Linked DNA regions of Struthio camelus. Each later gene encodes a partner of the first gene's protein in a complex. Links are inferred from orthologs where the notes say so. Each region holds a gene or a part of one and is shown in the gene's direction. Other genes may lie near its edges.

Region 1 (7,249 bases):
CATAGGTAGGGGCAGCAGAAAGATGGTTCAGCAACACCGTCAGAAGTGCAGCAGTCGGGTCTCCTTCACTCTGTTCTGCTTGTCATCCTCCTTTGGGGTTTATACATGCAAAAATCTTACTTTGTCCCCTTTAGCAGGCAGGTGTGAAACACCTGGGCCTATTGCAACTGCCTCGCATTTTAATTTGTGCAAGATTTAGCATGGGATACTGTTACATGAATTACAAGAGGAACTAAATTAATTCATAGCCAAGGGGGTAAAATTACTGCAAGGAAATAAAGAACCCTGAGACCTGAATATTTTTGCAAAATTGCCATCCTGAAAAAGAATCACTCTCCATTGAACTTTTCCACACAAAAAAAGGGTGAAAAGTGCTGTGAACAATCAGCTAGCTTGAAATAAATTTTAGAGACAAAGATAGAAAATGTTTAATTTTTTCATATTCATTTTACACACTCCTACATAATTATTAATCAAAGCTAGCAATGTTGCCTTTTCTCCTACATGACGTATTTTTTAAAATAGAACAAAGTACAAAACATGCAAGTCTATCTCCACAGCAGTGACTTTTTACTTGTTTAGAACGTGCGAGCATGGCAATTAAATCAAGTGTGATGTGTGGGTGGTTTTGATACCAGTTCTGCTCACACCTGTTACTTATAGCGGCCAGGCATGGTTTGCTATGCGTTGTCCTAGATTTTTTTTACCTGGTCCTTTATCACCAGCTGATAGTTTTCCAAAGCTAATTTACACTGTGTAAGGGCAAAGGGTATTTATAGAGCATTAAAAAATAATTACACACGATACTTTTTCCATTCTTATTGGGAATATCATGGATGAGGTGATTTCAGAGCTGGGACTGAGCTAAGATCAGCACCTCTTGGGTTTATGACTTGCCAGAAACCTCCTGAGCCAGTGAATCCATGTTTTAGTGGATCTAGAGTCTGAGGAGCTGCCAGGCAAGTCAGGGCTGCTAATGCTTGGAGCGTCCTGGCTGCACATGATTGCACACCCTAGAGAAGCCATAAGCAATTCAGCTTAAAGCAGTGATGAAAAGGGAGCACTGCTGTTTCTGAGCAGGGAGAAATCACTAATCTTACAGTGAGAATGGACATCCACAGGTCAGGACCAACCCCTTTTATTCCCTGACTGCTCAAGATGTTTAGCTCCCAAGGCTCCCTCCATAAACACTGGACTTAAATATGAGGAATCAGACCCTCTGCTGACATCGATTTTGGAAGGTCATCAAAGCAACTAACATCACACAAGAGCTTGGACGACCACAGGGCTTGTCAAAAGAGGTTACTGGGAACACCATTGACTATGTAAAGAGATGGAGGACTGCTCTTTTCACCTAGGCTAACTTTGAACTGTTACTTCTATACTTCTCAATAAGGAATAGAATCACAGAATCACACAGAATCACAGAATGGCTGAGGTTGGAAGGGACCTCCGGAGATCATCTAGTCCAACCGCTCTGCTCAAGCAGGGTCATCTAGAGCGTATTGCACAGGATCGCGTCCAGGCGGGTTTTGGATATCTCCAGCGAAGGAGACTCCACTACCTCTCCGGGCAACCTGTGCCAGCGCTCTGTCACCCTCACAGTGAAGAAGTTTTTCCTCAGGTTCAGATGGAACTGCCTGTGGTTCAGTTTCTGCCCGTTGCCTCTTGTCCTGTTGCTGGGCCCCACGGAGAAGAGGCTGGCCTCATCGTCTTGACACTCCCCCTTCAGATACTTGTACACGTTGATGAGATCGCCTCTCAATCTTCTCTCCTCCAGGCTGAACAGGCCCAGCTCTCGCAGCCTTTCTTCAGAGGAGAGAGGCTCCAGTCCCCTCATCATCTTTGTAGCCCTCCGCTGGACTCTCTCCAGTAGTGCCATGTCTCTCTTGGACTGGGGAGCCCAGAACTGGACACAGTACTCCAGATGTGGTGGCCTCCCCAGGGCTGAGTAGAGGGGCAGGATCACCTCCCTCCACCTGTTGGCAACACTCTGCCTAACACACCCCAGGATACCACTGGCCCTCCTGGCCACAAGGGCACACTGCTGGCTCATGCTTAACTTGTTGTCCACCAGCACTCCCAGGTCCTTCTCTGCAGAGCTACTTTCCAGCAGGTCAGCCCCCAGCCTGTACTGGTGCATGGGGTTATTCCTCCCCGGGGGCAGCACCCTGCACTTGCCTTTGTTGAACTTCAGGAGGTTCCTCTCCGCCCACCTCTCCAGCCTGTCCAGGTCCCTCTGAATGGCAGCACAGTCTTCTGGTGTGTTAACCACTCCCCCCAGGTTAGTATCAGCAGCAAACTTGCTGAGGAGAGTGCACTCTGTCCCTTCCTCCAGGTCATTGATGAATACATTGAACAAGACTGGACCCAGGACTGACCCCTGGGGGACACCACTAGCCACAGGCCTCCAACTAGACTCTGCACCATTCACCACAACCCTCTGAGCTCGGCCATCCAGCCAGTTCTCAATCCACCTCGCTGTCCAGTCATCCAACCCACACTTCCTGAGCTTACCTAGGAGGATGTGATGGGAGACAGTGTCAAAAGCCTTGCTGGCTTTATTGAATAATGATTTAGAAGTCATCTGTCTCACTCAGATACCTTTATTCATTTGTTTTATAAACATGGAGACATCTATGATTTTATTTTTGCCGTGGATCTTTGTTTAAGTCCCAGTTATGTTACTTTACAGCAGTCATATTCCAGGAGAAATTTAACAGAGGGAATAAGTTAGGAGTCAAGGCAGGAAGAGATCAGTTAGCAAGAACACAGGTATTTATGTTGCCTCTCCTAATTCTCATTTCTACATCATAACCAAATGTCTTATCCCTACCAGAAACGGATTCTAAGAAAGCTAGTTTCTAAGTGAATCCATAGCAAGGCAAGTTGTGCTGAGTATTTTTGCTGTCTAACGTGAATCACGCAGTTTTTATGTCTGCCTCTACAGCTCTTGTTAGCTATTCAACATCTTGGTCCCAGCTGCAGGTCAGATCAACAGTTACGCTGGACATCAAGCCTATGCTATTCGAGTTGGACAAGAAGCTTCCTATTTACTCCAGTAAATGTGGGACCAGGGCCTGGAAAGCATCTGTATGCTGTAAAGCTGTTAATACTGCGCATGGCCACGCTGTGCTCTGTGAGACTTTCTAAAGCAGTGAAATTCTGCAGGACAGGAGCACTCTGAATAATCTGTTATAGCTCTGGCAAAGAGAGCTCACTGGTAAAACAGTTTTTCTGCATAGCCCTTGGTTCAAGAAAAAATAGAAGTTTACTTTTCTCTTTAAAGTATAAAAAGATCTTGAAAAATACATTGATACTACACCTTAATCTTTGAAAGGAGGCAGACTTGTATTACTCATCTTCAGCAGAGATCTATATTTCTGTGGTGCAATGGGTGAAACATAGGAGAAAAAGTGAAGAGGAAGCCTATTTAGAAGCATTTCTCCTCTCTGGGGCCCTGACCTTGCCAAAGGATGTTCCCACTTAATCCCCAAAGTTTCCTCCAGTCTACCATTTTGTGCTCTTTACTGTCAGTTTGGGAATTGTCATACCACAGAGACGAGACCTTCAGAAATCATTAAACTCCCTCAGGAAATCATGATACTATTTTTGAAAAATGTATACACTTGGGACAATGTCCTTTGGCTTCTAAGCTCTAAAATATACTGGGGTAATTTTCCATATATTTCTCTATAATTACGAAAGCAAAATGCTTGCTTTAAAAAAATTATTCTCACATAGTGAAACAATATCCGGGGCTGGGACCCTATGAAAAATACAAAATATGAAAAATAGACTATCTAGAGCCAAGCAGAGAGAAAGTGGCAAAACTTGTGTATATGTACCAGACAACAAAAGTGTTAGATTACATTTGGGGGCTTCTGTGGACAGTGAATTACTGCAAGATAAATAATTCTAGTGATTAGTCATCAAAGAGGATCATCAGGAATGGCAAATATGACCTGAAGTGATTAAAAAAAAAGACAAAGCTGGAGAGGAGATGATTCTTCCATGCGTTGAAAGTTGTATAAAGTGGCAATACATTTTTGAGCTGAAAACCCCAGCAAAACCCAAACTTTGTACCACATGAGAAAGAAATGGTTTGTTTGAATAGTTTATGCATGTCTGAGTTATTAAAAGTTCCATGCAGAGGTGGTAGAAAAATGTTTGAAATTGAACCATGGATCTGATTCCATGGTTAACTGATTTCCTAAATAAATGAGAAAGGAAACAGGTTGCTGCAAGCTTCTACTCTCACTTCCTTGTGAGAGAAGACATAGACACTGTCCCAGAAAGGACGGGACCATTGTGTACACTCTTCTCAGGCAGTCATGGGTAACTGGGTGGAGAATGAAGGACTGTCCATCTTTGTTGTTGTAAGTACAATTTTTATTATGCTTTGTGTCTAGTAAAAAGTTCTACGGAAAATTTTAATAAGTAGATCTCATTGCGCCTGTGAGTGATGCAGCTGATTATTCTGAAACTAGGGCAGCAGACGTAGTTGCATTATACTTGACAAGTATAATTTTTAAGGAGCTCTAGCTGGAATCCTGATTGCTGTAGGCTGCATTGTCAGCTGAGAAATTATCATAAGTTAACTCTCATTTGCTTTGTTATAAATGCTTAAGTGTCTAGGTTTTTTGAAGCAATAATGACTTAAGGAAAAAAAATAGCATTACATCTCACTGTTAACTATTTGCATTTTGAAAGAGAAAAAAAAAAACTAAAACAAGCCTTTCTTACACTTTTATAAACAAAAATGCATGTTACTGAGAGCACAGTGAACATTTCTTGGTAGCAGAAAATTTGTTTTTGTAGTCAAATTCCAGGATTTAGAGCAGAGATTCATGAATCTCTCATTAAGACAACCTATATTTGAACTGTGCTTGTATAGAGCTTGCATGGAGCTGCTACAAAACTGAGTTTGATTAGTTCCTGGCAGGATTTAAAAGTAATTGAAATCCCACTTACATTTAAAAGAGCTAAACCGTAAGGCAGATCTCCTCCTTGGAGAAAAGAAGTTAGTATTTCAGTATTCTTTTTTTCTTCACATTACAGTGCCTTGGGAAGAAATTAATGATATGAAAGTTATAGGTATTCAATATTGTGTAATAGCAAAATGTAAAACCAATTAAGGGATTGTTGTCAAGTGTGGTTAATTAGGTAGATACTGAGAGGAATAAAAAGAAGACATAGAACTACATTTGTGAAGACTGAATGTGAACATCTTTATTCGAAAATGTATTATTTCTCCTGCCACAAATGATGCTTACATATTACATTGTGGAAGCATAGCTCTAGTTTAGCCACACAACACTGACAGTTCAGTGCTTTGAAAGGGCTGTATTTGCTGACACCCAGTGACTTGAGGAAGTTGAAACTGCCAGGAGGTGAATTCTGCCACATTTTTCCCATCAGGACTGCAATATTAACTGAATTAAGTAAGAGCTTATTATTTTGTTCAAAAAAGGAATTGTGTACAGAATCTCAGAGCTATACGAGGTTAGCTAATACAGAGGGAAGGAAAATAAAGAAGTCACTGATAAAGAAACCAGCTAAGAGGACAGTTCATCAGAGGCCTTAAGAGAGTGTTCCGCATTGTCCATTACAAGTTTATAGTACATTCATTATCTACAGGGTGGCCCAGTGCTTGATAAAAACAGGACAGCCACAATTTTTATTATTTTCCTCAAAAAAATAGAAATAGTCTTGATTTTTTTTTTTTTGGCCTGACATGGCAGCCTTAGCCCTAACATATGCTGCCTCCACTGGCCCTAACCAAAGAGGTGGTAGCTGCTAACTCTGCAACTCAACCAAAGTTGTCACAGGGTGTCACAGTGTTTCTCAAGGGTTCCACATTCCTTATGAGTTAGCACCAAGAAGTGTGAGGCTTCATCATGGATCATGCCAAGCATCTCAGTCTTCTGGACATGCTGTCAGGCTACTGTAAATGGGAGTGGCACACTCTTACTTTAAATTTGCATCCTAAGCATTTTATCCTGAGCTGAGCTTAATTTTGAGGGTTTGTGGATTTCTCATATACTGACTTATGCTGTTGGAAATCCCTTCACTTCCCTGCCTTTACACCTTACAGGTGAGACATTTTCCAGATCTAAAATAATCCCAAGCTTTTTGCACTGTCAGCTGGGCCAAGAAACTAAGCGAGACTAGCACTTTAAACTTTGGGCTAAGAAGGGCAAAAGACTGTAGTGTCACAGTTTCTGTCAGCCTGAACTTAAAACCAGCGATTACAGGTCTACAGGTCTCATTCTTTGTCTCTTCCATCTTCACGCACCACCTAGTAAATCCCCTTAGAACAGAGGTGCAGTGATATAGATTGGTTTCACCGGGGGGTGTGAAGTCAGCCAACTATCTCCAGAAGGGCGCATGGCCCAATTCATTATGGTCTCTTGGGCTGGATGTGCTTGTAACTGCATTAGAGAGCTTCGAGAAGTGCTCATAAATTCTTTCCCTAAAGAAATCTGCCCTGTAGGCTGTGTAAGTACAAGAGAATATTGCAGCACAGCTACTAAGAAGCCCAGTTAGCCTAAACTCCACCAAAGTGCCTGTGTTGAATATTTCCTGCTGGCTGATTTCAGACCTTCAGAGGCTCCTACTCAATTGAAAACATTAAACTCGGGCCTTGGGTGTAATTTTGGCCATGTATATTTAGACCTCAACCTTCTTTGTCCTTTGGCACAGCTCCAAAGCTTGGCTTTGGCAGCTCCAAAGTCTTCCTCTTATATGGGTTAGTGTGTCTGAGGAATTCCCGTTAAGAAGAGGACCTAGCCTTTAAATGATTTTTAGAGACTCAGCTAAACTCACAGACTTAGCCAGATTCTTAGTTTATATAATCATATCATTTGAGCTATACAAAGGTTTCAGCTACCAGTTTTCATGCTGTGTTTTCTTGCCACTCCTGTACTCCCATGTATACACCTCAAAGCCTATTTCCACCAGTAAAATATATATTGTCCCTCCTGATCTCTTCACACCTTGAAGGGCACCTTTCTGTGTGAATAGGAATGCAACGCACTAATTGGTCATTTTCTGAACTGTGTAAATTGAGACATACAGTCTTTAACAACAAACTAAAGTTTCCTGTTTGCTTCTCTTTCAGCTTGTGTGGCTGGGGTTAAATGTCTTCCTCTTTTGGTGGTTCTATCTTGCATATGATCTCCCACCAAAATTCTTCTACACCAGAGTCCTCCTTGGCGTAAGTACAAAACATATATTATTTTGGCGT
Region 2 (7,646 bases), on another chromosome or scaffold:
TTGTTCTCTCTCCGTTATTTTTTACGGAATAACGGTTCAGAAGTTACTCAACACATAAATCGGCAGCAGCATCTTATTTAGCCAATATGCTATGATTTCCCATTTCTGTAACGAAACACAAATATCGCTGAGGCTGTCGCCACACAGGCATCAAGGTGTCTCACCTGTAACAAAATTATTGCACGTGCACATGCACATCACCCTTCCAAAACCTCTCAGGCCCCCAGAGTATCAGTTCAGATGTCTATGCATTTATCTGAAAATGCCTGTCTTTCTAAGTAGCAAGTTATGATATTTAAACACAAAGGTTCAGTTCACGTTTTGCTCATTCTTTTAACCCCCCACCCTAAAGAGACACGTATAAGCATACACCGACATCTGCGCAGAGAAGTTTTTCAACTATAAAATGGCTTTTTTAGGAACAAAACTACCAAACTTCTGAAAACATGCTATTTTCAGCTTAAAGTGCAACCTCCCTTTATCACATGCACTAGGTAAATCTCTTCCTGTTACAGCTTAGGTCTAAATACTTTAATCCACAAAAATATTTGTTAGGCATAAATGATAATGCTGTACAAAACTACAGACAGTCATGACTGCCAAAGTTTGTAACCCAAGAACATAACTCCCCAAACGCTTGTTTCACTGCACCTGTCTGTAAGAGGCATCACAATCCAGAGAAGCAAACGTCTGTTGAGACGGCTGTTAAAAGTTTAACGATGTAATTACATTAGCGTCCTTAAAGATAAGGCCAGGGCAGAATGTAAAACAAAGAAACACCATTATTTTTACATGCCCAGACTATAGGTGGAAGTTACCTTATCCTTGAGGTCAAGGACACGGAAATTTCTACCTGTATCATCATAACGAAAGCAAAAACAAACACTATTTATTACCAATTAAGAAAAAAAAAAAAAAAGATAGTCCTATACGCAGACCCTGGAAAAACTAGCATTCATTTTAGCTCGAGGTAAAAATTGTAATAGTGATAGTAATCCCAAATTCTTGTGCTTCTACTTTCTTTACTCAGAATGCTTTTGCATTTGCACTTGGTAGATTAATGCAAGTTCTTTTAAGGCACTGCAGTCACTCTAAAACAATCCCGATGCAACTTAAGACTTTGGGTTTCCTACAGAATTACTAGAATGCAGCACTAGCTAACATTCAATGTTTTCTGTTCCTTTGGATGAATGTTTTCATACTAAAAAGCTGTGTCCATCTTGCAACTTATCCCACATGGACAGAATGGTGTTGATGCATTATCGATTATAGTGATAGCACCGACGCAAGTCCTAATTTAGAAGCGTTGAGATTTGTACTTAAAAAGCATGGCTAACATCCTTCCGGTTCACTCTTGAGGATTATGCTTACTTATGACATTTATTATCCAGACGTGATACACTGATTCTTCAAAAGATATGGCAGTTTTAGATAGTTTTATATCCCTGCAGATATCATTTAAAAGATGATCATTTAAAAATATTAAAATATTAATTTCCCATCTTATTTCTTTATAGTCCTAGTGCAAAACCCATGATTACATAAAAACCTGAAACCTGTATAGAAACATCTGAAAACAGCTCAAGTGTACTGACACACTCCTCTGGTTTAGGAATACCTGAACTGAATTAATTTCAATTTAAGATTTCCAGCAATAGAAAAAGAACAGCAAAAACTTGTAATTCGAAATTAATTCGGTTCAGTTCAGGGCACACAAGGAACGAATGTTTTCAATGTAAGCGGTAAGGTTATACCTGTGTAATCATTAGATAATTAGATGTCCCTTATATTTTATTGCCAAGAGTAATTTCTGCTTTCCAATAGCTATTTATGACATTTTCCCACAGAGCATCTGTTATCAGTTACCATCATCACAGTGCCTAATAATCTAGAAAAAGAGATCACCATCCAGTTTTAATCTGCCCCTGGGGAGGTAATAGTACGTACCTTTGCTAGATTGCAAAGACACTTCTGAAGAAAATCACAGTTTGTAGCACTTAAGAGCATTATTTTGCTTTTATGATCCCTTTTGCTATATTTAACATTTACGCCTGTGCCTAAAGCGTTCATACCAAGAGTGAAATGGAAAACTAAGCATTCCTCTATGAAAAAACAGTAGATGCTGTAATCCATTTTCAAAAGCTTTAAAGGTAATGCCTCAGTCCTGCAACGATTATAAGCTGTAAATGCCTCAAGTCAGTGATGGCCGACGCCACTCAACAGCTGCCAGAATTTGCCAAGAGCAGCAGCTAAAAAACATGTACTCCATGAAATGAGTGCTCTACAGGCTTTATACGCAATGTTCCCATAGAGATCAGTGGGGCACCATGCCCAGCTCAACGGGATGGTCTCATTTATAACTGGCATCCTAAAGCCAACTCAGTCCCGTCACAATACACACACTACACACATTGTTTTAGTGACTGCTTCCAACCAATTGGTTAAAGTCAAACACACCAGAAATTTTATGCTGGCATCTTAAGATTACACACTTATTGTACTGCTGAATTCCTAAGTTTTAAGATCTTCAGTCATGGGAAAGGAGTTAGAAGAGAGTATTTAGAAAAATGGCCTGAAATTAGAAGACAGGAGTAGAAATATAAGTAGTACCAAACTACTGTAAAATAAAGGACAGTTCTGTTATGTGTGCATGTTGTTGTTCTCGGATCAATGACTGAACAGTTACAAGTATATTTACTATACAATGCATTACAATAAAGATCTATTTTTATAATACAGAACAAGTAATCTACAAATAATCAATTACATTTTTTCTATGTGTTTCTTTTGGCAAATAGCTTTTGTTTCTGCAGCCACGTGTTTTGGAATTTGTGTTGTTCTTCAAGTCCACGTTCAGGCTTTTAAAATGTGTTTCTTCTTCCTTTTTTGCCTTGGTAGGGATAAAATGACTTACCTATTTCAAAGTCGTGTAGTAAAATGAGGGATTGTTGCAGAAAATAATTTCTAACTTCATAATTAAATTAAGTCATACCAGGTATCATGCTGTGGCCTTTGCCAAACTGAAGCAGCACGTGGTTGCTAATATTTTTCACAGATAGTAATGCAAGAATAAAACAAATCCTCACTTGTATGCTACATGGTGTATACTGAGTGGAGGGGACGGACGAGGTTCTTGTGTTTCACGAACGCTGCTCTAGACACAAGAAACCTTTTCTGTCTTGTACCACTCAAAGTAGTTCAAGCATTTGGTTTCCAGAGAAACTGGTTGTTTGTAAAACCTGACTGACCACAGCTCATAGAAGAACTCTTTTCTTCTCAGAAGACTCAGAAAGTCAGCTGCTTGTTTGGGTTCAGAACAAAGATACTTATTACTTCTTATTTTTCATCAGCAAAATCCATCAGCAGCTGGTACCTCCTGACTCACAAGCATGCCAATTCAGCCTTGCAGTTTCTCATAGCTCTTCAAGCAACACAAGCATTGCAGGTCACTTTGTATTTTCTGCAACTTCCAGTCAGTTAATTTCTTAATGCGGGGGCTGAGCTCCTTCCCATCGTTAAATAATTCACTCTGGCCTGTTAGAAAAACACTGCCTCTTCAAAAACCCAGTTACTGCTGACCAACAGCAATGTTCAGGAACAGCTGAACAAACTTATACCATTTAACGGCCTCGAGCAGGCACTCTGGAGCATCTGGATTCTTTTCATGAAAAGAGCCAGAAATTGAGCACATCATTCAAGGACCGCGCTCCTGAACAACAGAGAGGACCGAATCTCTTTCACAGATAAAGTGACGTATTGGCTTACATAATGGGGATTAAAATAAGTTAAGCTAAAGGACACGTATCTGCACTTTACCCATTTTGTCTCAGATATTACACAAGCAGACACCCTAATGGATTGAACAGAAATGGTTTTTTCATGTTATTAGTGTTTAACAGAACTAGGAGGAACACGTAGAATTTTTCAAGTGTAACCTATTATCCACAGCAGGAAGGACACTCAATAGTTCACCTGACTTGGAAATTCTCCTCCCCAAACAACAGATTTTCCAAGCCTATGCCTTCAAGTGACAAATGATCCCCCAACGTTATGCCTCTGATAACATTAATTTTAAACCTATAAGATTTATTGCCGTGGTTATTTCTTTGCATTCCCCTCGGCTGGTTTTTGAACTGCAGCATTTTTTTTTCAAGATTGCATACACTGTTATAACAACCATCCAAAAATGGATTGCATTCAATTATTATAACTACCATAGCTATGAGCACTAAAAGCTAAAGCTTTAGAACTACCAAATATTATAGAAAACAGAAATTGCCAACACTGTTATAAATTAGTACAGGCAAAAACAACAAAAACCCTCCATGGTATCCAGAGTTATATACTTAGAGGAATAAGAAACTTCAAAAAATGTCAACTCTCTCTTACAAGTGTGCAGTTACTCAAACATCCATCCATCCATCCATCCACCCCTGACAGCAGGTGCCCAGGGCACAAGCCCACCAGGCCTAGCAACTCTCCCTTCCACACATCCAGCCTAGCCCCACAGCACTCAGCCTCCCTCCTCTGCAATCACGCGAGTTTTCCTGCCCCTTTATACACGGCTGAAGCCAAACAACCTAAAGAGACCTCAAAGCTCCTATTTGGGCAGGAGCCTCAAGCTCGGCCGCCATCTTGACTGCGGGCAGTATGGCGGCCAGCTTGGGTGAGGCTCTTCCCTCCCCGCTTACACACTAAGCCAGAGCCGTTGCCGTGCGCGAGGAGGGAAGGTCTAGTTGCGCACGTGTTTGCCCTCACTGAAAATGGCCGCTGGCGTCCGGCATTCTTCTTAAGCAGCGCGTCTCGATGGTGTGTCCTAGCGGCCGGTTTGGCGCTGCTCTATGGTTCGGGGCGGCGGGGCCCCGGAAGTGGCGGTGCCCGGGCGTCCCATTCAAAGCGCTTCCCCGCGCGTGTGCCGCCGCGGGGCCGGGCAGGTAGTGCCGCCGCGGGGCAGGGGGGCTGGGCTGGGCTGGGGGCGCCGCCAGTCCCGGCGGCCGTGTCCTTAACGGGGCGGCGCTGCCAGGGCGGCGGTGGCCGTTGGCGCGTCCGGCTGGGGCTGGGGCTGGGTCGGCGGGGAGCTTGCCGCGGGGGATCCCCGCGGAGCCCGTGTGCTCGCCGCGCCGCGCTGACAGGAAGCGGCAGCGCAGTCTGCGTGCTGGGTTCTCCGTGGCTTGCGTGGGTTCCCCTGCCCGCGGCGGCCCGGGCGCGGGGCCGGGCGGCGGCGGAGCTGCGGCCCCACGGCTGCTCCTGCCTCCGTCCTCTGTGTCAGGAAGCTTTCAGCGTGCTTTTTTAGATAGCTTTTGGTAGCTCGCCCTCGTCCAGTAGCTTGGAGGGAGCGGATGAACGTTGACTTTCGGCTCTAGGTCCCTTTTATGTCGAAGCCAACAAATCGGGCTGCTAATGCTGTTGGTAAAGCGAAAACGCACCTTCCCCTGTGATCTCAAGCGTGCCCTAGTGAAACCTTCCCGCTCACGTGGTTCTAAAGGCAGCCTTACGGCTTATTATGTGTAACTTCAAGAAGCTGCTGCTGTGCTTTTTTATTCCCTGCGGCACTTCCCTCGCCAGCAAGCGCCTGTCCGTGGCACGCGCGCACCCACGCCCTGGCGCGTGGGCGACGGGGCTAACGGGGCCTCTGCCTGATGGCGCTCCCCGAATGAACAGCAGGGAGGGGAGAGGCTCGCGGTCACGCTCGGGGGCAAACACGCACACAAGTCGAGCGTGTCCCTTCTGAAGAAAGGCCAGGTTTCTGCAGTGACCTTCACGCGTCTGCCCCCTCCTTGACGCTTCCTGGGCGGCAGGAGGCTCTGCCTGCGCGGAGCGCGCCTCCCGCTACTCACTCGGGAATCAAGCCTTCGCCCCCGGAGGGGACGGAGCGCGTCTCTTTCCGTTTTACGTTCTCTCGGATGCACTGCTAAGAGCTACTGAAATCAAAGTCGTGTGTGTGTTTGATTTAAATGGCAGGTTTGGGCTAAATCTGTTCTGTTAAAGAAAAAAACCAAACTTCCCCTGGAGCTTTGTATCCAAGCTAGCCAGGCCGTGCAGAGTTGCGGGAGCGTCATGTAGTATCTAAGAACAGCGAGACGAGTAAAGGACTGAAGGTCGCGTGCTTTTGTTCCGTCAGACTGGGACGTGCTTGGGCCTGCTCGGTTCTAAGCGTTTTTCCTGTCTGTTTAAAGAACTGTTGAACGCTGGCATTCATCTGGAAACCCGCGACGCGGGCAGGCAATACCTGCTTAGTGCCCAGCTCCTGCTCGCTGATCCTGCAGCAAAGGAGCCAGCTACTTAATGATTAAATTACGTCTGTGGCTTGGTAGGGTTTTTGTTTTCTTTTGTGGTTTTTTTTTTTTTTGGCTAAGGGAAGGGGTTATCCACAATCATGGATTTCTCCTGTTTTGTTTTTAAGGCCAGCGTATACCCTGCTAACATTGTGATGCCATATTAACATGTGCTTTCCTTTCCCATCTCGCTTCTACTGATCAGGGTCTTCAATAATAATGTCAAGCATCTCTATCAGTTTACTGAAAGAGAAAAAAGCAGTAAGCAGCCTGCTTTTTCTCTGGTGATAATTAATTTTGGAAAGATCAGCTGGGTCCTCATGCCTATTGCTATGCCTTTAGTACAAATCACTTTTTATGCTTGTGCTGATATCAGGATGAAGGGGTTTTTTTTTTTTTCCACTGGAGTCCACAATCGTGCCAAAATTCAAATAGTTTTATGCTGTAAATACGTGCTAGAAATGCTGCATAAGTTTGTCCTGCTCTTACTGTTTTCAGTTAGTACCCTTTTTTAATCTCTAATCAGATTTTTTTTTAATCAGTTACTTTCTCTCTTGGTTGAAGGACATGGTCTTGTTGGGGCGAGTCAAGTATACTTATTGCTGGAAAATCTTGGTTTTATTCTGGAGCTGGCTTGAAACATGGGAATGCCGTATCTGGCGCCATCTGACACTGGTACCTCACTGTGCTGAGCTGCGGCCGCAGCTCTGAGAAACTCCGTATCTGTATTGAAGAAGGCTTCGTTGTCCTGCTTCGGCTGCCAGGCTGCTCTGTTACGGCTACCATTGCTGTTAGCAGAATAAATGGCGGTGTCAAAAAACTTCCATTACTCTTGCTACTTTCTGTTTTTGAAGAGTTGCTAATTCATGCAGCCCTAACATCATTCCAGGCTCTTGTTTTCCACATTTGCTTCTGAAACCTTTCCAGAGGGTGCTGCTTATGGTGGGAAGGAATTGCCTCTTATCCCCCCCCAATGGGAAGTCTCTTGGCGTGTGTAGATTCCTGTTGTCGTGTTTTGCAGATCTCCACATGACTGGACTGTCTTGTTTGCTTGTATTTAAGTATGCATTTTTCTTTCTGTGAGGAAAAAGACCACATGCCTACTCTGGACAGTTTTTATAATCTAGATTAAAACTTGATAAGAAGTCATGACAACTGCTAGGAAGAGAGAGAGCTGTAGTCAGCAACAACTTTTTTTTTTTTTTTTTGTCCTGTAAGGTTTCATGAGTCTGACTGGGCTGTTGGGAGCTTCTTCCAAAGATGTACATGTTGGTTGAAAACCGCACAAGTTTCCTTCTCCATCTGAAGAGGTCTCCTGGCATCAGATCTTGGTCTCTCTTTGTTGGTAAGACCGTGATTATTCCTCAGTTT
Region 3 (6,892 bases), on another chromosome or scaffold:
CAGTTTTTACACTATCAACAAAGATAGGCTTTTGCTTTCGACTTAGATACTGTAACACACTGTTTGCTGAAAGCAATTGAACAGCGCTGCTGGCAGCAGGAAGTGTCATCTGAGATTAAGAGAACAGATCTCTGAATCACGCTTAGGTGTTCTGTTTTTTTTTTCACTGATATGTTTCCCCCTATGTACAACAGGCATACTACTTTGTATCTCTACATCTCAGTGATTTGTGGGTGGCTTTATTAGCTAACACGTGAAAGAATACAGTAATAGTTTGGGCTGGGAGATGCTATAAAATTGCGAATTATTATTGTCTCTGTAATCCTGATAGTCTATGTCATGGTGAGTAAAACTTTCCAGTATTGCATCAGTGTGATTATCCTGCCACTCCCCACCCAAAAAGGAACATAACCTCCTTCAGTGCCAGCACATACACAATACTCACATGCAGGCAGTATCTGAGACAATATTAAATAATTATTTCCTCTCAATGTCTAAGAAAAAAAAATATCAAAAATTGCAATAGATAAGTGAAGGTAGGGTGATAGATTATAGATCAAAATTAGGACTGATCTAAGCCTCAAGTTTATGATTCATGACCTTATCAGAATTATGCAAAGGTTGCTTACAGTTACTACCATTCATGTTTTCTTTTTACATACTCCTCTCTGCACTGCATTTTTAACTGTATTCTGTACACTACTCAGCAGTGCAATCACATCTATCAACCAGCTATTTCTCTATGAAATTGTTTGGCTTTAACTGCTCACTCCTTTGCCCTGCCTTTCAAACTATTCTCTAAGTTCCTTATCTTCTGACAAACTTAATGTTTTACGTGTTCCCTGTGACCATTTCTTCTTGCAGTCTCAGGGAAAAAAACATGTCTGCAGAGCGTTACACATTTGTAGCACCATCTAAGTTATTTGTTTCTCTTTAAAACCAAGTATACTACATAATAGTTAGCAAAAAAGAAGTAGTATAAAAAAGAAGAAGCTGAACTATACTAAAATTAATTAACAAACAAATAATTAATGCATAATATACTCAAAGTACACACAACTACCAGTTTGTCTTGCAGAGCATCTAAGAATAGTTACCTTAACAAAGGTATCAGCTAGGATTCCAAATGCAAAGTTTTGAACTATTCCAAAAGATTTGCAAACACATGGAAACAAAACTGGGTGCATCTATTACAGTTATCATCATCATATATCAAATTTGTAGTATTGTTTTTAGTGACTAACAGTGAATATTTATGTAGATATTTTATAATGTTAGTCTTTATATACTCAATTAAAATAATCAAAGCATATTGTGTTCTAAGTTATTTTTTATCAATGCAAAACAATTGATCCCAAAAGAATCAGATGGAGGAGCACTGAAAAGAACATACGTAAAAAGATATTGCTTGTCTCATGACAGGATCGTGAAAACAATTTGTGCTAACGTAAATGTTTTTTTCCATCATAACCTTTTCTCCATTACAGTATTTTTATGCTGTTAAAGTCATTTTGTATTTTTAAATGACAGTCGGTTTCTATAACCGCAGCAAAAAATACAGTTAAATTACCATTTAACTAAAGGCAAAATCAAAGCCAAAGTTGAACATCGCAAAAACGTGTTGTAGTTATTATTATTTATGAAGTATAAACCACAGAAGAATACTGCATGTTTTAATATTGTAAATTTTGTTGTATCTCTTTTTCACATTAAAAAACCCCATAATCCGTCTGATAACACTGGATAATGTAAGAACCTGCAGAAGAATATGTAGGTGGTGGGAAAATTGAAAGTAGTTTTACGTGTCCCTTGAATCTTCCTGTGTTCTGTGTCTCCCCAGGCCCATGGCATAAATTAGACAGGCTTCATGTCTGCTCTGTTTCTATGCAGCATCTCAGAAGCTCCAAAAGCGTTGCAGCAGCCAAGAACAGCAAGAGCACTGTGATACTGCCCACACCTCTCTCCCGCAGCTCCCGGCTGCTGGGTAGGGAACGGTTGCCAGGTCATCGCTAGCAGCAGAGTGTTGGTTTTAAGGATATTTAGCTTAAATGACAACAGCCATTTCAACTTCCATCTGTATGAGGGGATAGGGACATGCAAGTGTTCCAAAAAAAAGTGTTGCAAGAGCTTTTCAGGTTACAGTGATCTTTATGATGTTTTCCTGACTGAAGTGAAATATATGAGAATTTTCTTTGCTCAGCAAAAGAACAAAAAGAGTAAGTATCATGGAATGCCCTGTCCACCAGTGAGGTTGCACTGTACTGTTATCATATTTGCTTAGAAATGTTCAGGAAGTAGTATGAGATCAAATCACTGGAAAAACTTCCAGGGTGGTATAGTCCTTTATACTGATTTCACTGGATTCATCAGCCCCTGGCAGAGGCAGCATGTGTATGGGCCTTTTCCTCACGCTTTCTTTGAGGAATGGCTGGCAATGTAGACAAAGAGAAGAGCAGTCCAATGAGAAGCTTCTCTGCGAGCAGAATCACCGCGAGAACAAATGGAAGAAATGAAATAACTCCGGAGATCATTGGACCTGCTCTGCTTGACTTTTAAATTATTCTATTAACCTATGTGTTCCAGTACATAAGTATTTACTTACATGCTAGAGCACGCCTGTCACTTCAGTAATTCATAAAAATATCTGTTTTCTTGTGGAAAAGAGAGCTCCAAAGCAATGAAATCTAAAGCATCCCAGAAATGAATAAGTGTTAACACTAATATTATTCCTGGGTGGATATATTTATAATTTATATGCCTCTTGCTTTGACCCTGCAAAGCTGGTTCATAAAATACAAGCCAAAATAATAGAAAATACTGTGGTGCTAATCTTTATTTTTCTTAACACCTTTGGAGTTCAAAACCGTTAAGAATAACTAAGCAGAAATACACATATCACCGCGCGTCACATCTCTCGGTGTTGTGCCACGTTGTGTGGGGTGGCAAGCTGTGGCTGGAAGACCATGGAAGAAGTAACTTGGAGACGTGCGCGGTGCCACAAGCCCAACGGCAGCGACCTCCCGGGCAGCGCTCGGGGGAGGTCGCAGCGGGCCGTGGCGGCGGGCACGTCTCTCCGTGAGCCCTCACCGCCCCTCTCGCGCAGACTGCCTGTGCCGGCCTGCTCTAAAACTTGCCGGCAGAGTTCATGAAGGCTGTAGCACGTGAGGAGGAGGAGGGCGGCACAGGGCTCCCTTGAGGACGAGAACGTCCTGACAGCCCTGCGCTGGCTCGCGGTGTGACGCGCAGTCCCACCGCCCACGGCCGGCTGGCCAACACCGGGAGCGGCCCACAGCCGCACGCCGGGAACCTCACGGAGTTACATCCGCACGGCAAACCTGTACTTTGGCGCATTGTGTCAAGGAAAGACATAATGTCCCTCACACGGTCTGCAGGGGCAAACGCCATCCCACCTTCGCAGGCCTCGCGAGGCGCGAGGCGCCACGTGGGCGCTCGGATTGCGCCAGGCTGGGTCAGGACCGAGCCGCAGCACCCCAAAGGGGTGCCGGGAGCCAGCTCTGGGTTCGAGAGCGCTTCGCCCCGACGTGACGGCGCCGGCGACAGCGCCAGGCCGATGCGCCCCGGCGGGCTGCCGCCGCGACATGGCCGCCCTGCTGCGGCCTGCGCGCCTCCGCCGGGCCCGGCCGCCGCACCGCGACGCCTGACGGCTGGGCTGCGCTCAGCAGAGCCAGCGCATCACACCACATTTCTGATTAAAAGAACCCAAAAGGATGACCCTGGGGGCCTGCGCGCTCCCGCGGCGGCGGGCCAGGCGGCTCCGCGCTCCCGCACTGGGTCGGCAGCACACGCACGGCGCAGCCGAGCCCTGCCCAAGCCCCCAGGGCGCGACGCGGCGGAAACACCCGAGTGCTGCCGAAGCACTCCGAAGCCGGGGCGGTGCGGCGGAAACACCCGAGCGCTGCCGAAGCACTCCGAAGCCCGGGCGGTGCGGCGGAAACACCCGAGCGCTGCCGAAGCGCTCCGAAGCGGCGCCGCCGCCTGGCCGGAGAGGCACGAAGCGGCTCCGGGGGCGGGCGGGGCCTCGCCGAGTTGGGGCCCGGGAGACGGAGCGGCGGGGCCGAGCCGGATGTGACTGGAGCGGTTTCCTGTTCCACTGCAGCCCGCCCCTCTCGCCGCCTTGGGTGGTGGCCGCTGCCTCGTCCCCCGCTGCCAGGCACAGCGCGGAGGCGGCCGCGACCCGGTGCGCAGACCGCCGCCGGCTCCCTTCTCGCGCGGCCCCGGCCCGAGCAGCCCCCGCGGCGGCGCAACCCCGATGCAGGCCATCAAGTGTGTGGTGGTGGGCGACGGGTGAGTGCGAGGCGCCGCGCGGCTCGGCGGCCTGAGGGGAGGTGGGTGGAGTGGGGTGGGGTGGGGTGGGGTGGGGTGGGGGCGGCGGCCCGGTCCGGTCCGGTCCGGTCCGGTCTGGCTGCGGGGCTGGGGCGCGGCCCAACCGCTGCGCAGGGCGCGGGGGCTGCCCGGGCCCGTGTGGGCGTCCGCGCTGAGGGGGCGGGCGGCGGCTTCCTGCTGGGGGCGGGGGCGGGAGCGCGGGGCCCGGCGGGGCGGGCGGGCAGCGAATGGTGGCTGCCGAGGAGGGGGAGAGGGAGGCTTCCGCGGGGGCGTAACAAGCGCGGGGGGCCTGCAGCGCCGGCTCCGCACCCGAGCCCGCCCGGGAGAAGGTGCGCGGGCGGCGGGTGAGCCGCCCGGCTCGTGCGGGCAGAAGCGGCCGCCCTAGGCGCGCCTCGGTGCGGGCCGGCCGCCTCGCCCGGCTCCGCGTCCTCCTCCGGCCGCTCTCCGAGGTCTCAGGCGCACCGGGGTAGCCCTAGCGCGTTACCAATCGTTTTACGATGCCCTTAGTGACAGGGGAAATCTGGTGCTGGTTTGAAACGCCTTTACTGAAAGTAACTCCGGGAAAAGTTTCTCTTGTTGCTGCTTGTAGCTTGGTTTTTGACATCGCGTTCTTGTAGTAGGGCTGGGGGAAACGCGCTAAGCTCGACGCGGGTCGTAAATGCTGGTGGGCAGAGACTTGTGTTTTGCACGCTTACACCTAGGCCTGTACGGTTCCTCTGTGAAGGAGACAGATAAAGCGATTGCAGTACAAAAATACTTGTCTGTAAGGCTCTGTTACACCTATGGTGTTCTGATATGGTATTACTTACAACCGAAACAACCTGAGAATGCTTTTTACAATCAGATTAAGTCTGCGTTTAGCTGCTGGGTTTGGATCTAAAGAACGCTGAAATTGTGGTGGAGAAGGAGTTTGTGTGTTTGCTGCTTGTGAATGTTCTCCACCAAGCTATCCCCATCAGCTCAGAGGCATTCTTTTTCTTGCTGGATGTCAGAGCTCAGGGGAGCATCATAGGCCAGCTGGAAAACAAGACTAGTCTTATGCAGTTTGAGAGTTTTTTTTTTTCTTTAGTAGAAACAAAAATCCCAGTGTAGTCTGAGCATAATTGGTATCACAGCAAACTTGTGTAGATGACAGTGAAATGTAAGTGTAGCTAAATGGTCTTGCCACTGCCTGTGTAATTTCACATGGTGGCTTAATCTTTAAGTTACTTGGCTTCGAAGATATAGACTCCCTAAAAAGATAGCTTACTGTGATTGAAAGATAAATATATTCAGCCTAAAAAAAATGTTTTGACTTTTCTTTGTAAGATGCTGAGCAATGAGGATGTGACAGTGAAATCCTGACAAATGAAGACTTTCTATAGTAATGTCATTCATTGATACACGATATAGCTATGTTATTTTGGTTACACTGTTTTTTAACTATTTTATTTTCCTGTCATCTCAGATTTTTTTTCATTCAAGTGAACAACATTGTCTGTGACTGAATGATGTAAATAAATGCAATGCATCATGCTTGGGTGGGGAAAAAGTTTATCTACTTCCTCTAATAGATTTGAGAACTCAGCATAGAAAAACTATATGATGTACAGTAATTCATTCAATAAAACAGTTTTACTCATCATTTGCTTTGTAAATACCACCCCGCTTCCAAACTTATTGCTCTTTGTCTTGGTAATGAAAATGGTGTAATTCTACCTGAGTTTTATACATATGTGTGAATAAAATGCAGTCATTCTAACTTGCTTTCCTTCTTTCTCAGTTAGAAACAAATCTCTTTCAAGATGCTACTGAGATATCATTGCTTGTTTTTGGTAACTTTTTATGGTCTTCCATTGAGCTTTTTATATTCAATCATTTGCTTCCCTGTTCTGCTGCTTCAGAAGTTCAAGCTTTACCAGTATTCTAGAAAAGGTGTAATGTTTGGCTTAGATAAGGCTAAAGCTTTAGTGTTTCTGGAAAACAATACAAGTTAACGATTGCTTACATAATGTAAAACTCAGGTACTGTTTTACAAAGATCTGCTAGGAACAAAATAAACAAGGCTATAGAAGTACCTGTGTGACAATTTTTTGAAATTGTAAATGGGCAGGCTGTTTCTGATAAGTATCTCATGTTTGTTTTCCAGGGCTTTGACCAGTATCAGTTTAGACATGTAGTTTGGCTCAAAGCATGGCATATGTGCTAGTTGTGCTATCCTATTTTGCCCTGGTTTGCTTCCTCACTGTGAGAATTGTTTGGGGAAAAATAGATGGCAACTGTTGCTTTGGCTTCTTGATACAGACAAGTAAGAGTGTGCAGGACATCTGAACAGCCCTCCACTTGAATAACTCTACAAGAATTGCTGTTGATTGAGACTTAAGAAAAAACATTGGTGTAAGTTATTTTTAGAATGGAAGCAAAAGCTGCTAACTTTAAAAAAGCAGCTGTTCAGTGGTATGGCATCTCAGGGGATGCCTTGTCATGTTAGGGGAAGTCTTGCATGTTGCAGAAATGATAACTAGATGCCCCAGAAATGGTCCCTGTTTGAAATTTTACCTAATTTGTG
Region 4 (7,998 bases), on another chromosome or scaffold:
AGTGGGGGCACTGGGAACACTGGGAGCACTGGGGAAAGTGGGGGCACTGGGAACACTGGGGGCACTGGGGACAATGGGGACAATGGGGGCAAGGGGAAAAGTGGGGGCACTGGGAACACTGGGAGCACTGGGGAAAGTGGGGGCACTAGGGGCACTGGGGGCACTGAGGGCACTGAGGGCAATGGGGGCAAGGGGAAAAGTGGGGGCACTGGGAACACTGGGGGCACTGGGGAAAGTGAGGGCACTAGGGGCAATGGAGGCACTGGGGGCAATGGGGGCACTGGGGGCAAGGGGAGAGGTGGGGGCACTGGGAGCACTGGGGGAACTGGGGGCAATGGGGGCACTGGGGGAAGTGGGGGCACTGGGAACACTGGGCGCAGTGGGTACTGGGAGCATTGGGAACAGTGGGAGCACTGGGGGCAGTAGGTAGTGGGAGCAATGGAGGCATTGGGGGATACTGGGGGCAGTGGATACTGGGAGCACTGGGGGCACCGGGTATTGGGATCACAGGGGGTACTGAGCCCTGGGAGGGCTGGGGGAACTGGAGGCCATAGGGGAACCCTGGGCACTGGGAGCACTGGGAGCACTGGGATTGGCTCACGCCCCCCCACCCCCCACGGTGTCACGGCGGGCAGGGGCGGCGCATGCGCAGTGCCGCGCTCCGGGCACGGACATGGCGCCGCGCGCGCCCCGCGGCCTCGCTCCCCCTCCGCCTTGCGCGCGGCCCAAAGCCCTCCGGCGGGGGAAACCGGGGCGGCCCTGACGTTCCGGGCGGGGGACTGCGGGGCGTGGCCAGCGCCCGTGGTCCGATCGAGGCTATTGGGCGCCCGGGGCCGGCCGCGGTGGCGCCAGCCAATGGGGTGACGGCAGCTCGCTACAGTGTTGCGCGGCGCCGGCACGTGGGTGGTCCGAGGCCGGGAGCGGGGCTGGCCCGGCCCGATCCTGCCCCGTCGGTGCGGGGGTGCTGGGGCTGCTCGGGGGCCGGGTCTTGCTTGGGGGCCAAGCCGAGCGCTTGCCCGGGGCTTTGCACCCAGCCTGGGTTGGTGCTGCCGGGGCTCGGGTCGTGTCCCCGAGCTGAGTGCGTGGCCGGGGACGGGTCGCCACCATGTCCGAGGACAAGGCTCTCACCATGGTCACCTGCACGGCCCCTGTCAACATAGCTGTCATCAAGTACTGTGAGTACCCGAGCGTCCCGCCCCCCGGCGCGGACCCCTCCTTGCCCCGGGGGCCGGGGCAGAGCTGCCTGCAGGGCCCCGAGCACGGCGGGGCTCAGCACCGGGGCGAGCACGGGGGCTGCCCCTCGCTGTGGGGCGATGCAGAAACCGCAGCGGGTTGTGTCATCCCAGAAGGGCCCCCGGGACCCGTCGGTCCCCTGGGCTGTCCCCAGGGCTGTGACTCTCCAGGGTTTCCCCCTCCCCTAAATCCCTGGGGAACCCCCCCCCCCCGAGCTGGGACCCCTGAGGAGGTGGGCACGTCCATGGGGCGGCTGCCTGGATGGGCTCGAGGACGGCAGGAGCAAAGCCCTTGCCGGTGGGCTCCCATCGCTCCCCTGCAGCGGGCTCCAGCGAGCCCCAAAGGCGCCGGCTTGCGCCAGCCTTCACCGAGGAGGGCGAGAGGCCGTGCCGTGCCGTGCCGTGCCAGCCCCGTGGCAGCCGGTTCGGCCCGGAGCGGGAGGGCACGAGCAGCACGGGCTGGCACCAGGCCCCCACGCGCACCCCACCCGCGCGTCTCTTGCAGGGGGCAAGCGGGACAGCGACCTGATCCTGCCCATCAACTCCTCGCTGAGCGTGACGCTGCACCAGGACCAGGTTGGCACGGCGAGGTGGGGGGCCTGGCTCAGAGCAGGGGTCCTTCTTGGCGGGCAGAAGCCGGGTGCAGGAGCTCACACGGCACCAGGGACGTGGCGCTCGCAGGGAACGGGGGCTCGTTTGCTGCCGGGGCCGGGGGCGGCTGGCTGGGCGGTCGGACTCGCCGCGCCGTGGCCCAGCCTGACAGCCTTTGGCGCTGCCCGGAGCTGCGGGAAGGTGTGGGATTTTGGCGTTCAGCCCCCGTTTTGCCTGCCTCTCCTGGCCTTTCTGCCTTCCCCGCCTCATCCTTGGGTGCGCGACGCCGCCCTGCGGCCGGGCGACTCTGGGTTTGCAGGACGGGCCGCTGGCGCCCTTGGGGGGCTGCGGGCTGCCCCAGCCCCTCCCTGCGCCTGCTCAGCGTCCTTTGCCCCCCGGCCAGCTGAAGACCACCACCACCGCTGCCATCAGCCGGGACTTCAAGGAGGACCGGCTGTGGCTGAACGGGGAGGAGGCTGACGTGGGGCACCCCCGGCTGCAGTCCTGCCTGCGGGAAGGTGAGTGCCCTCCCGTGCCTCGGTTTCCCCAGGGAAAGGGGGCAGACCCTGCCCCGTGAGCAGGCTGGGAGGGGAGAGCGACGGTGCCCAGGCGCGGCACCGTACAAACCTGCCTCGCCGTCCCCGTCCCTCCCCGTTCCCGAGGCCTAAACCCCCCCCCCACGACGACTTCTGTGCCATCTCAGTGCGGCGCCTGGCCCGGAAGCGCCGTGGCGGTGACACCGCCGAGGACACGGCCCCGCTCAGCCTGGCCTACAAGATCCACATCGCCACGGCGAACGACTTCCCCACGGCAGCCGGCCTGGCGTCGTCGGCAGCCGGCTACGCCTGCCTGGGTGAGCGCGCGCCGGCGCCGGGGTGCGGGTCGGGTCGGGCCGGGCCGGGCCGGCAGGCGGCCCCGGGGCGCTGGGGCTGACGCGCGGCCGTGCCCGCAGTGTACGCCCTGGCTCAGCTGTACGGCGTGGAGGGCGAGCTCTCGGAGGTGGCACGCCAGGGCTCGGGCAGCGCCTGCCGCAGCATGTTCGGGGGCTTCGTGCAGTGGCACAAGGGCGAGCGGCCGGACGGGAAGGACAGCGTGGCGCAGCAAGTGGCACCCGAGACGCACTGGCCGGAGCTCAGGATCCTCGTGCTGGTGGTGAGGGGCTGGGGAGGCGGGCTGTCCCCGTGCCCACCTTCGCGGGGCTCGTCGTGGTTTGGAGAGAGGGTGCTGAGAACACCCCAGCCCCGGCCCCCGGGGTGCCTGCTCCCCCTGCAGACCCTGCGCGAGGCTGGGGGCAGCCGCCAGCGCGGTGCCGGGGTCTGGGATCCCCGTGGTGGGGATTGGGGCTGGGGGCTCAGGGTGCCGCGTGTCCCACCGCCTGCCCCCCATGCGCCAGGTCAGCGCGGAGAAGAAGCAGGTGGGCAGCACCGCGGGGATGCAGACCAGCGTGGACACCAGCCCCTTGCTCAAGGTAGGGGGCCGGGATGCCAGGGCCCGTCCTGCCCCCCGGGGCAGCTCCCTGCATCCCGGTCCTGTGGTGGGTTGGGGTCACGTCTCCCTTGGGTGGTATTTTTAATTCTTGCTGGGGGGCTGGCGTGGATGGAGGGCACTGCCCTGGGCAGAGGGGGGGCCGTGGGGCTCAGCGTGGCGCCTCGGCCTCGGCAGTGCCCTTGGATCCAACCCTGGGAGGGAGCAGGGTGCAACCCGCTGCCGTGGCCCTAGTGCAGCCGAGGGGGCGATGGGCTGAGAACAGCCCCGAAACCGGGGACGGGGGGCGGCGGCTGGCGCCACGGCTGACCCCGGCCCGCGTGTCGCCGCAGCACCGCGCGGAGGCCCTGGTGCCGGAGCGCATCGCCCGCATGGCACAGCACATCCGCGAGCGGGACTTCGAGGCCTTCGGCCAGCTCACCATGCGGGACAGCAACCAGTTCCACGCCACCTGCCTCGACACCTTCCCCCCCATCTTCTACCTCGACGACGTCTCGCGCCGCCTCATCGCCCTGGCCCACCGCTACAACGCCCACCACGGCCGCACCAAGGTAGGAGGTGGCCGGCACGGGCCGGCGCCAGGGCTCCCCCCCGCCCCGTGGCGCTGGTGCCCACCCTCCCGCCCCTTGCAGGTGGCCTACACTTTTGACGCCGGCCCCAACGCTGTGATCTTCACGCTGGCCGACACCGTGGCGGAGTTCGTGGAGGTGGTGAAACGCAGCTTCCCTCCGGCGCCCAACGGGGACCAGTAAGTGCTGTCGGGGCTCCCGGTGAGGCTGGGGGAGAGCTGGGGTCCCAGGGGCTGGGGGCTGCGAGCCCTGCCCGCCGTGGGTCACCCCGGGGCCCCCGTGCTGGGGGACGGGTGCTGCGGCGTGGGGCTGAGCGCTCGGCCGTGCCGGCAGGTTCCTGCAAGGGCTGCCGGTGGGCTCGGCCTCGCCGGCGGAGGAGCTGCTCACGGCCGTGGTCCAGGAGCCGGTGCCGGGGGCCCTTCGGTACATCCTGCACACCAAGGTACGCGGGGGGCCGGGTAGGCCAGGGGGCCCCGTCCCCATCCCCAGGGGTGGTCCCGCAGTGCCGGCCCAGGCTGGGCTGCCGAACGGGGTGGCCTTTTTGGGGACAGGATTCCCAGGTGCCGTCCCCGGGGCTGGCTGTCCCACGGCCTGGAGCGGGGATCCCCGGCGGGAACAGCCCCGGCTCCCCACTAACACCTCTCCTTGCCCCCAGCCCGGCCCCGGACCCCAGCTCCTGGACGACCCCAGCCAGCACCTCCTGGGGGCCGACGGGCTGCCCCGAGGCAGCGCCTGAGCCCCCCGCCGTGGGGCCGCGTTCGTGGTGACGCCGCGCCGGATGGCCGCGCCGGACGGCAGTTTGGGGGGGTCCGGCCGTGCCCATAGCCCCTCCAGGGAGACGGGGCAAGGACGGAGCTTGGCCGCGCGCTGCCCCTTGGGCTTGGTGCCCTGTGACCTGCTGCAAAGCCCCCTCCCCCGGGGCAGGATGTGCCCCCCCCCCCCCCGGGCCTGGTTTTTACTCTTTTGTGAACAAATAGAGGTTTTTCCCATCTGCAGCCGTGTTTCGGGGTGTACTGGTGCGGTCGCGGGAGAGCCGAGGGGGCCGTGGGGCTGCCCCGTCCCCCCCCCCCCGGCGCGTTCCTCCACTGCCCCGTGGGGGGGCGGGGCCGGGGGCGGGGCGTCGCGGAGGGGGCGGGGCGGGGCAGCCGCTCGGCTACATTGTAGCGCGCCGCTTCCGCCGCGGCCGAGCCGAGCCGAGCGGGGCCAGGCCGGGCCGAACCGGGCCGAACCGGGCCATGGGGCAGATCGAGTGGGCCATGTGGGCTAACGAGCAGGCGCTGGCGGCCGGGCTCAGTGAGTGTGCGGGGCGGGGGGGGGCCGGGGCCAGGCCCGGGTTGCCCGGCGTGGGGAGGGGGCTCCGGGGCTCCCTGCCGGCCCCGGCCCTCGCCGGGGGCGTGAGCGCTTGGGCCCTTGCTCCGCTGGAGCCTCCAGCGGCTGCTGACGGCTTGAGGAAGCCCCCAGCCCTCCCGCCCGTGGGGTCGCCGGGCTGGAGCCTCTCTCTTTCCCCTCCAGCCCGTTGCGCTCAGTTGTCGTAACTGAACCCCGTGGAGAAGTCAGTCGCCCTGGGTGGGCCTTGGGGGTGGAAGGCGCTGAGGAAGCGCAGGGGCCGCCAAGCCGCGTCCCTCCGAGCCGCCTTCGCCCTCTGCTTGGGGGACGAGTCACCGCCTGGGAGCCCGACGGGCAGGAGGGCGGCGGGATGGGGCGGCCTTGGCACGGGGAGCGTCGCCGCCTTCGCTCCGTGCTCCCTGGCCCAGGCGGGCGGCTTCCTCCTTGCCGCGGGGGCCGAGCTGCCGGCGTCACCCAGCCCAGGAAACGGGCACCCTGCTCCGTCTGGGTCTCGGGGTGCATCTGTCGTCCGCCAGCCCTCGTCCTTCGGCTGCGTCGGGCAGCCGGGCGAGCGGGGTAGGGCACGGCCTCGTGGCCGAGGGGAAGCTGTCAGTATGCGAAAGCGGGGACGTGCGGGGCCTGCCTGCCTCCGCGCTGGCCCCGCGGCGCCAGTGCTGCTCCCTTGGCGCCGGCCGTGGCGTGACCAAGGGGTGCTGGGTCCCATGAGGCTGGCGGGGTTTTCCAGGGCGGTGCAAGCAGGAGGTGTGATGCTGCCCAGGACGGCCTGGGAAAGTCCCATCCAGCCTGGGGATTAGCAGGACTAGAGCCTCCTCTTCCTCCTCTTTCCGGGCGTCCTGTCTGTACAAGGCAGCTGGGAGTGGAGCAAAGCTCATGGGCGGAGGTGTGCAGTCGCCGGGGAAAAAAAAAAACCTCTCCCCAGAGTCCTGCAATTCCCCTCGCTCAAACCAGAGGGGGTCCGGCATGGCAGAGGTCCCCGGGGCAGGGCCCTGCTGGGCCACAGGACGTAGCCTGCCTGGCTGACCCTGCTGTGTCCCCGCAGTTATGTTGACCGGAGGGATCGTGGCCGTGGCAGGGCAGTTCAAGGGCTGGTATTTCGCGGCGTACGCCATGTATCCTTCCGGAGGTGATGCTGAGGACCGGCCGGGCTGTTTGCAGGGGAGCCAGACAGGGATGAGTTGCTGGAGCATAGCAAGTAGCCTTTACTTTCACTTTCTTTTCCCAAGTTCCTCTTCTTTACAAGTTTCTTTTCCAAAATCACCATTTTCTTGTCCCAAATGGCTCTTTTCCTGCAGGTCCTGAAAGTGCATCATGACCTTCACGTTTCTGCAAAACTTCCCTGGGAGGCTGGGGGTGCTGGCCCCATTACCTGGGGATGATGAGGGTGGGGGTGGGGGGTGCTGGTCCACTCTCTGCTGCCCCTGCATGGCTTTGTCCCTGTGTCACGCACCCTGCTCCAGCCCTCCCCCCCCACCCCGCTTTTTCCAGTGATGGTGATGCCCCTAATCGTGGCCTGCAGACCCTGAGCATCCCTTTCCTTGACGCTGCCCCCACCTCAGCGCAGCAGGCGTCTTCGTCTGCCTACTCGAATACCCCAGGAGCAAGCGGAAAAAGGGCTCCACCATGGAGAGATGGTAGGTGCTGCCCCCCTGGCACTGGGAATTTGGGGTCCTGGTAAAAGGCCCCCACAGCATCAGAGGGTGCACGGTCAGGAGAGGGGCATGGAGATGGCTGGGAACAGCTTCTTCCAGGCTTTCTGACCTGGGCAATTTGCTGACATGAGCAGGGCCAGATCCTGCAGGCAGGTTTCCTGGGGTGCTGGTATCAATGGGGGGTGCAGGAGGGCAGCTATGAGGGAGCATGGGGATGGGTCAATGCGAGAGGGAGGTCCTGGGAGGGGGTCTCTCAGCGCTGAGTGCCGGCCTGACCCCTCTGTGTCACTCTATCTTCCCGTACAGTGGCCAGAAGTACATGACGGCTGTGGTGAAGGTGTTCGGGCCCCTCACAAGGAATTACTACATCCGGGCCATCCTACACGCCGCGTAAGTGGGCCGAGGGGTCTGTGTGGGCCCCGGGCTGCGGGTGCAGCCCCCGCCTCCCCGACCGGCCAGCCGGCCGTGCGGTGCCCCGCTGAGCGCCGTCTCTCCCCATGCAGGCTGGCCGTCCCCGCCGGCTTCCTCCTCTCCACCATCCTGGGCACCGTCTGCCTGGGCATTGCGAGCGGCATCTACTTGCTGGTGAGTGCTGGGCTGGTGGTGGCTGGCCAGCATCCTCTGTCCGTCTGTCCATCCATCCCGGCCAGCATCCTCTGTCCGTCCTGGCCTGTCCCCCACTTGCTTTTCCTGGCTGAGTCTTGGGGTGGGGAGGGGATGCACAGCGTGGCGGTTGGGGCAGAAGCCCCCCCCCCGGCAGGATGCCTGGGTCCCGCTGAGCTCTGTGCCACCCACTTGGCTGTCCGGGCTTTGCGCTGAGGAGTCATTTTTGGTGGGGGGGGGGGAGGGCAGTTCTATGCTGAGAGCTGTTCTGGGGGGCTGGCCGTGGGCGAGGGGCTGGGTGGGGGCACGTGCTCCCCTCCTCACAGCCTCGGTGGCTTTGCAGGCGGCGGTGCGTGGTGAGGAGTGGAGGCCCATCGAGCAGAAGCCCCGGGAGCGGCCGCACGTGGGTGACACCATCAAGCAGCCACCCACCAACCCGCCGCCCCGGCCCCCCGCCGACGCACGCAAGAAGCCGCCGGCGGAAGCAGGAGGCCAGGTGAACCCCATCGCCGTCGAGGCCGA

What was found.
Region 2: the proteins of CYBB (region 1) and CYBC1 are in contact, whole or in part, in a cryo-EM structure (PDB 8KEI), measured with the Homo sapiens proteins. The link is inferred for Struthio camelus from reciprocal best matches to the Homo sapiens genes CYBB and CYBC1. Residues at the interface, in NP_000388.2 of Homo sapiens: Trp28, Asn74, Leu75, Leu76, Ser77, Phe78, Leu79, Arg80, Gly81, Ser82, Ser83, Ala84, Cys85, Cys86, Trp206, His210, Phe212, Pro266, Met268, Trp270, Lys271, Ile273, Tyr280, Tyr324, Phe326, Lys328, Leu335, Glu336, Trp337, His338; in NP_001028218.1 of Homo sapiens: Arg22, Leu26, Ala37, Ser41, Gly42, Asp43, Trp47, Phe50, Tyr51, Phe57, Gln61, Asn62, Glu64, Lys77, His97, Asp98, Gln99, Val100, Val101, Val102, Leu103, Arg108, Ser111, Glu115, Val117, Arg118, Tyr119, Phe120, Arg129, Ala131.
Region 3: CYBB (region 1) and RAC1 share a complex: the UniProt entries of both Homo sapiens proteins name them as parts of the phagocyte NADPH oxidase complex. The link is inferred for Struthio camelus from reciprocal best matches to the Homo sapiens genes CYBB and RAC1.
Region 4: the proteins of CYBB (region 1) and CYBA are in contact, whole or in part, in a cryo-EM structure (PDB 8X2L), measured with the Homo sapiens proteins. The link is inferred for Struthio camelus from reciprocal best matches to the Homo sapiens genes CYBB and CYBA. Residues at the interface, in NP_000388.2 of Homo sapiens: Thr116, Ile117, Leu120, Phe121, Val123, Glu124, Asn128, Asn133, Lys161, Asn162, Pro163, Gly166, Leu167, Ala170, Val180, Thr183, Leu184, Ile187, Leu188, Thr191, Ser192, Thr194, Lys195, Thr196, Ile197, Arg199, Ser200, Tyr201, Glu203, Val204; in NP_000092.2 of Homo sapiens: Gln3, Ile4, Glu5, Trp6, Met8, Trp9, Glu12, Gln13, Ala16, Ile20, Thr23, Val27, Gly31, Phe33, Thr34, Gln35, Arg56, Arg59, Met65, Gly102, Phe103, Leu104, Leu105, Ala106, Ile108, Leu109, Ala112, Cys113, Ile116.

The regions. Positions count from the first base shown.
Region 1 is NC_090942.1:129,259,127-129,266,375, reverse strand, and holds the start of CYBB (cytochrome b-245 heavy chain), read left to right. Parts: upstream 1-4,237; 5' UTR 4,238-4,334; coding exon 4,335-4,379; intron 4,380-7,123; coding exon 7,124-7,219; intron 7,220-7,249. UniProt on the Homo sapiens protein: Catalytic subunit of the phagocyte NADPH oxidase complex that mediates the transfer of electrons from cytosolic NADPH to O2 to produce the superoxide anion (O2(-)).
Region 2 is NC_090960.1:11,019,564-11,027,209, forward strand, and holds the start of CYBC1 (cytochrome b-245 chaperone 1), read left to right. Parts: upstream 1-4,637; 5' UTR 4,638-4,809; exon of another isoform or gene 4,810-4,934; intron 4,935-7,493; 5' UTR 7,494-7,535; coding exon 7,536-7,620; intron 7,621-7,646. UniProt on the Homo sapiens protein: Functions as a chaperone necessary for a stable expression of the CYBA and CYBB subunits of the cytochrome b-245 heterodimer. Controls the phagocyte respiratory burst and is essential for innate immunity.
Region 3 is NC_090956.1:9,200,353-9,207,244, forward strand, and holds the start of RAC1 (ras-related C3 botulinum toxin substrate 1), read left to right. Parts: upstream 1-3,882; 5' UTR 3,883-4,270; coding exon 4,271-4,305; intron 4,306-6,892. UniProt on the Homo sapiens protein: Plasma membrane-associated small GTPase which cycles between active GTP-bound and inactive GDP-bound states.
Region 4 is NC_090951.1:2,456,103-2,464,100, forward strand, and holds the start of CYBA (cytochrome b-245 light chain), read left to right. Parts: upstream 1-4,990; 5' UTR 4,991-5,112; coding exon 5,113-5,170; intron 5,171-5,441; exon of another isoform or gene 5,442-6,094; coding exon of another isoform or gene 6,095-6,104; intron 6,105-6,263; coding exon 6,264-6,333; intron 6,334-6,780; coding exon 6,781-6,855; intron 6,856-7,179; coding exon 7,180-7,263; intron 7,264-7,376; coding exon 7,377-7,458; intron 7,459-7,819; coding exon 7,820-7,998. Other genes in the region: MVD (diphosphomevalonate decarboxylase), read left to right, coding at 1,106-1,175, 1,738-1,808, 2,227-2,341, 2,527-2,676, 2,776-2,975, 3,217-3,291, 3,641-3,859, 3,941-4,056 and 2 more. UniProt on the Homo sapiens protein: Subunit of NADPH oxidase complexes that is required for the NADPH oxidase activity that generates, in various cell types, superoxide from molecular oxygen utilizing NADPH as an electron donor.